Linked DNA regions of Daphnia pulex. The protein of the gene in region 1 interacts with the protein of each later gene in a biochemical or structural test. Links are inferred from orthologs where the notes say so. Each region holds a gene or a part of one and is shown in the gene's direction. Other genes may lie near its edges. The genes, in order: mitogen-activated protein kinase kinase kinase 7-like and TGF-beta-activated kinase 1 and MAP3K7-binding protein 1-like.

The links.
Region 2: of the proteins of mitogen-activated protein kinase kinase kinase 7-like (region 1) and TGF-beta-activated kinase 1 and MAP3K7-binding protein 1-like, one has a biochemical effect on the other in vitro, tested with the Homo sapiens proteins (4 studies listed by BioGRID and IntAct). The link is inferred for Daphnia pulex from reciprocal best matches to the Homo sapiens genes MAP3K7 and TAB1.

What each region holds. Positions count from the first base shown.
Region 1 is NC_060025.1:3,031,420-3,033,790, forward strand, and holds the end of mitogen-activated protein kinase kinase kinase 7-like, read left to right. Parts: intron 1-428; coding exon 429-559; intron 560-621; coding exon 622-988; intron 989-1,055; coding exon 1,056-1,063; 3' UTR 1,064-1,654; downstream 1,655-2,371. UniProt on the Homo sapiens protein: Serine/threonine kinase which acts as an essential component of the MAP kinase signal transduction pathway. Plays an important role in the cascades of cellular responses evoked by changes in the environment.
Region 2 is NC_060020.1:5,657,419-5,661,721, reverse strand, and holds TGF-beta-activated kinase 1 and MAP3K7-binding protein 1-like, read left to right. Parts: upstream 1-1,541; 5' UTR 1,542-1,707; coding exon 1,708-1,771; intron 1,772-1,834; coding exon 1,835-2,164; intron 2,165-2,228; coding exon 2,229-2,342; intron 2,343-2,416; coding exon 2,417-2,581; intron 2,582-2,644; coding exon 2,645-2,804; intron 2,805-2,879; coding exon 2,880-3,063; intron 3,064-3,126; coding exon 3,127-3,528; 3' UTR 3,529-3,600; downstream 3,601-4,303. UniProt on the Homo sapiens protein: Key adapter protein that plays an essential role in JNK and NF-kappa-B activation and proinflammatory cytokines production in response to stimulation with TLRs and cytokines.

The sequences.
Region 1 (2,371 bases):
CCTGGCCTTTTTTTTCTACAGTCGCTGCGCTCTTCTCCTTCTCTCTCGTCGTGTGCGGGAGAAAGAGAGAGGGAACCCAAGGTCTCGTTGGAAAGGGTCCTTCAGTCAACACGCTGGTTCGAACACGGTGAGCCGAAATCTGACCGAATTCTCGTCGAATAAAACCGCCATGCAAATGGCTTTTAGTGATCAAATGGCGGAATTTCTCATGGCGGCGATGGAGTCGGTTGCGTCGCAACTCGGCGACGAAGTGACCGACATTGAAATCTTGTGCTGGCACTATTGGTGTTTCCTCTATTGTACGTGAGCTGCCTCTTTTTAGGCATCAGATTACTACGTCGTGAAGAGAAAAAAAAACCTTGCGGATATTTTGGCAGCCTGAAAATTCGCCTCACTGGATTTTTGTATTGTTTTCTTTTGAATTGCAGGTGAAACGAATCATGTCATTGGAGAGCAGCCCATTGACGAAATCTTTTTCCTGTTGCATCCCTCGCTGAGGCCTATCCCACCATGCCCGACTAGTCAAGTATCGATGAGGGTCTACGAAGAACATCGAAAGGTTGGTCACATCAATCCCGGAATTGTTTTCCGTGACTAACATTGTTTTGTCATGAAATTTAGATGGCAAAGGAATATTTGGAAGTGCAGAAAGAGCTGCAGTGGATGACCAAATATTGCAACGAGCTGGTTGAACATTTGGAAGAGACAAAGAAACAACAGACGGAGCAGCGGCGAACTAGTCAACAGCCGCTTGAACAGTCGGAATTGCAGCGATCGGTGGAAGAATTTGTCCGGCTCGAAAGTGAAAAAAAGAGCCTCCTCGAATTTCAACGAAATCTTACAGAGCAGCTCAGCAAAGTTCATCGAGAACAACTCCAAATGCAGCAACAACAACAGCAGCAGCAACAACAACAGCGACAAGTTCCACAGCCTAATGATCAATCAAGATCGTCTCCTTTGCCTGACGATGGTTGGGTCGTTCTTTCGCGTAAAATCATTTCTATAAATTTTTTCTGACTCGTCGTCAAATTAATTTAAAATTTTTCTTCCTTTAGGTATTTGAAAAATGACGGTGCCGAGTTGGTTCTGAAAAATTACTGTTATTTTGTCTTTCACTGTTCTGATATATTTATCGTGTAAAACCGTTCCCCATTTCATCCATACTTTATTGTTAGATGCTGTGTCAAGTTCTTTTCCCAAGTCACCCGGAAATATTCGACCGGGGGTTGAGAGGGTTTTCTGCGGATGCCGCCAAATTTTTCTTGTGGCCTTATAGGTTTGGCTTGAGACCGGCCACACTTTGGCTAGATTTAGCTTGCAGTTAAGGTGCTGTTTGTGTGAAGTGTGCGATGGACGACATATATCCGCAGCCTATCGTCGCCCCAAGGCAAGGATTACGAGATCCCAAATCTTCTTCTTCTTCATTTCTTTTTTTCAGTTCCAGTTTTTAAATAACCTCTTTTCATTCGAATATTTCGCCCACGAGACTGTTGACTATAAACAAAATCCATCCATGATAGGTGCCGTTCAGGACGAGACGAAGACGAAACATAAATAAACATGTTTGTTTTTATCTTTCGAAAAAACGAATTCAATGTCCAAAAGTTGTCATGAATGTCCGCTTGAAATAGAATGGAATTCTTGGATGCTTGAATTGTCACACAAATTAAAAGAGTAAATCCTTCGCTAAATGACAACATTTGAAAGTAAGCCAAAACATTTTTTTTGGTTCGGGAGACTTAAAGGTTCCTCCTTCGTTGGCGCCAAACTTGGCAGAGCGGACATTCTGCACCATGCAGATGAAAGTTTCGGGAAAATATTTGAAAACAAAAAAATATAATATTTTAAATCAAACAACTATAAAGTCCTTGATCGAATCGTTAAAGCGTGAGAACAGCTGCCAGCAGTTATTAATATTTAAAAAAATATATTTGTTGTTTTGTTTGCATGTCCGTGTAATTAATGTAGGAAAAAAGCAAACTGAATTAGCTTCTTTCATCGCATGAGATTTCTTTCGTTTTTTACGCCACATTCGTCATCGCGGTTTCTCCAGACTGTGGGCGGTTACACTTCAATCGTCACATATGAAAGTTCTGCTACTACCTTATTAACCAGCGACGGCCAAGGCGACGGCGATATATTTATCGTGTGCGTCAGCGATATCGTTGTCAACAATTTTTAAAAAGTATAGTTGCATGCATGCAACCATCTGATTAAATTATATTTGAGATAGCCTAGTAGAATGTTACGCCTAATAATAAAAAATAAGGGCCAAAATAAGATTCATAATATTTACATTCAGTAGTCTCATTTTCTCATATAAAGACTAGCTTTCTTTTAGCTCGAATTTCTTTTGCCATATAATAACCTA
Region 2 (4,303 bases), on another chromosome or scaffold:
ACGCCATAGTTGACTAAACAGTAAATAAATTTAAACATTATTATTAAACATTAACAGGCATATTAACACATGGAAAACAAAAATATAATTGATAAAAAACTCAATGTAAAGACAGAATATTTACCCATGGTTGCGAACTGGCAATACGGTGAAGAATGCAGATGGTGAGTGCGCTGCAGTTGTTGCCGTGTCGGATATGCTCACTCGACTGATTTTCCTTCAGTTTTTCTCTCTCCTTTTATACTATTTTTTTTCTCACCCTCACCTCTAAAGCCTTGCGGGTGTTGTACCTGCTTGATAATGATGCAAAACGTCCGTCCTCACCCAACCTCTACACCACTGCATGACACGTTTTACGTAAACGTAATGATCTCCGTGACCTTCGAGTGTGACTGTCCTTTCCTTCTGCAGTTTGACGTTGCTGGGGATGGGTCCTACAACAACCAATATCAAAATGAATACCAAATGGTTATGTAACACGTGTCGTTCTCACCCAACCTCTACACCACTGCATGACAAGTTTTACGTGCCTTTCCTTCTGCAGGTTGTCGTTGCTGGGGATGGGTCTACAACAACCAATATAAAAATGAATACTAAATTAAATGATTATCGCTTAAAACTCACTTTATACAAATTTCGAACCGTTTGAAGGACAGTCGGCTTTTTTGAAAATATTCCTCTGTCAATCTTATCCAAGTTTCGAACACATGATCAATCCATATTCATTTCATGATGTCACTGTTTGTGATGAGCAATACTGGCGCCATGAGTCAGCATAGCAGAGAGGTAGAGGGAAAATCGTGGACTGAATCCTTCAGGTCCTCGGTTTCCCGTTCTTACATATCGAACAATTTCTTGGCTGCAAACAGAAACAGGGAATGAATTCAAGCCAATACTGTAGAAGAAATTTTTAATCTGAAACCACCTTCCTACCAAACCCAGTTAGAGCCCGTCTGCCTGCGGTAGTGATTATGGCAAAGATAAAGACCACATGTAATAAAACGAAAAAGTATAACATCAACATGTAATAAAACCAAAACTCAAATTGACTACAAAATAGAACAATTTCGAATCGAAATACGAATTACTCATTAAAGCATAATGTTTACACAGTTAAACATTTAGGGATCTCAATTCTCAATAACGTTGAACAATTCAGTATTCAGGAAAAATGTGCTCAATAACGAACATAAAAGCTTTAAGAAAGGCATATTGTGCATAGCACATCAAATCCATCAAATATACAATGGAGGTTCGATCTTCCTAGTAAAAATGTTCTTTTAGCTTGGAGTTAATCAAGTCATTTTTATTATAAGTTGACTATGACCATTTCCATAAAAATTGAAAAAGAAAAAGACAAATGCACAATACTAAAATAGTGAGATTCCAGCTGACGGGGGACCTAGCTGTTGCCAAAAGAGAAAAGACGAACTACGAAAACGAACTGCTGAATTTTAAAAATCAACCTTGGCGGGAAATATTTTTGTGATAGTTTTCAATGTGAATAGCAGATGGCGAGACCACTTTTGGTAAACAAACTAGCAGAAGACGACGCTTCGTTCACTAATCATTAGCACATTAGGTACTTCACATTTCTGTTAGGACTGACGATAGTGTTAAGTGTGGTGATAAGTATAACAGAATATCTACCCTACTTTAGCTTTAATGAACTCTGCATAATACTGCAAACCTTGATTAGCCATTCTAATGTCAGCAGAAATTTCTGAAACTAAAAGTTGGACAGACGACCTACCCGTTTGCTTCTACACAGGTTTTTAAATAAAGCAAAATCTTAGTCCGATAATTGAATGTGTCTTAACTTTCTTTTTGACAGGTGTGGGGTTATCAACAAATCAGATCTATAAAGAAGATGGCTATAGAAGAGAGGCCCGTGAATGTGAAGATAGAAGTTTCCACTTCAAAATTGATGATCACACATTCCTGTATGGAGTATTCAATGGGAAAGATGGATCTTCTGTGGCAGATTTTGCTGCACAGCGCATGCCTGCAGAAATCCTTCTTGGGCAGCTCAATGATAAAACCAGCCCAGAAGCTGTGAAAGAAGTCTTAAATGAAGCTTTCCTAGCAGTAGAGCGCAGCTATTTCGAATCAATTGATGACTTACTGGCTGAGAGAGCAAATCTTTTATGTGAATTACCTGAAGGTATTGTCTTATACAGCATGACCTGACATTTACCTTCTTTACAAAAACTCTAATCTTACTATAGGAATCAAATCATATGATGCATACCAACAATTTCCGGATATTGTGAATCGACTAAGAGCTGCTAATGTTCGGTTGTCTGCGAGTGCCTCAGCTGCAGTTGCGTTAATCTTTAATGGTTGGTACCACAACAGCTTCAGTGGTTCAATACTACAAGCATTTCTATGATATTCTTGTTGGTCACTTGTATAGGTCACTTGTATGTCGCTAATGTTGGAGACTGCCGAGCTTTATTATGTAAAATCGACGCAGAAGGAGTTTTGAGAGTAATGCAGCTAACGGTAGATCATGATTTGACCAACGAGGATGAAGTGCTCCGTCTGTCGCATATGGGACTTGAAGTGGAAAAACTTCAAAGTGATTCAATTATTTTTCTTTTTTAATCTCAGATAATTAATTGATTCAAAATGATTTGTGCAGATTTGCCGAGAAAAGGAAGTCATTTAACGACTCGTTGCTTGGGAAATTATACTGTTAAAGGAGGCTACAAAGATTTCGATCTCTTCAGTGCAGCTAAAGCGGAACCTGTTATTGCTGATGCTGAAATCATAGGACCTATTAATCTGGATGAGTCTTGCAGGTAAAAAAAAAAACTACGACAATTATCTAATTCCGTAACAACCATAGCCATCTACTGTTTTTCTCTTTATTAAAGGTTTTTACTGTTAACGACTCAAGGATTGTACGGAGCGTTAGAAGAAGCGACAAATAGCGAACAGGCTAACAAAGAAATTGCTCAGATTGTTGTGGAACAATTTGGATCCCAAAGCACTATAACGGGTGTAGCTCAAGGTGTTGTCGATCGAATCGCACGTATTCATCACGATCATTATATGGAAGTATGGAAGTTTACTACTCTTGTCTTGGGCAAAGCTAATTCTGATTTTCTTGGCATGAAATAGGACCCAAATCATGTCACTTGCTGTCAACGAGATGACATAACATTACTGATTCGAAATTTCAACTTTCAACTGTCTGCTCCACTGAGTGCAAGTAGCACACTACGTAGTTATAATACTTCCCTCAATGCATACAGCAATGATTCCTCAACGATGGGATTGAAATTTGACACTCAGCTAAACACACTGTCTTCTACAGTTGGCAATAGTATTAGTGAAACGCTTACTGAGGCTTCTATTACATCTTCAACAGAGAGTTCAGAGCAAATCAAGTCAAATCAATCTCAGAATATGCTCCTTGATGAAGATGGGAGGATTGGTCCCTACGTGGATTTCACCAACTTTTATCAAGCTGTCAGAAAAGCAAAAGATGAAGGCACGATTCCTGAGGATGCGATATACTAATTTATAAGTGTTTGGCTTATAATACTGATATGTACAGGCGAAATTACCCCAATAAAATTAACTTAAGATTTACCTTGATTTGCGAATACTGTCGAGTTTGCTGAAGTCTTTTCACAGTTGAAGATTCGAGGAATTATAGAAATGTTATGAATTCAGTGGACTAATTGATTTGATAACATCTTTTCGGAAAACACTTTTTGCTTCGTCACACGACACGAGGTCTGAACACACTGAGTGATTTAAATTTTCTGAGAGCAGTGAATCAGTAAATGTTTTTGCTGCAACAATGCCAGACATTTCTTTTTCAGTGTAATCATTTTCCGTGTCACATTCTGAGACCGCCTAAAGCAAATTCTTGTAAACCGCAGTATAAATTTCTTAGAGACTTTTATTAATACTTTCGTAATAATAAATAATTTGTGAAAAATGAATTACGGATGAACGGCGTTCAGCGTTCTCCCTCGAGTTTGACGATTTTATACCAGCTCCTAGTGCTGCTCTGTCGGAGGATGCCATTTTCTTCCAGGAATTTGACACGAGCGGCTATACCCTTAATAATGACACCGCATATCGTCCTGCTACCACAGTCAACTGGAATCTGGGAATTTGACCAATAAGACGCAAACCACATTCTATACTCCACGACTCAACGACGAGAAATGAATAAACCTCATTGAAGAAGACTTCATCTACACAAGTTTGAAGGAAACTAAATGATTTCGTTTCAACTGGCAAAGTGGAGAGAGAAAGTCTAAGCTGACGAAGCGAGATGGCA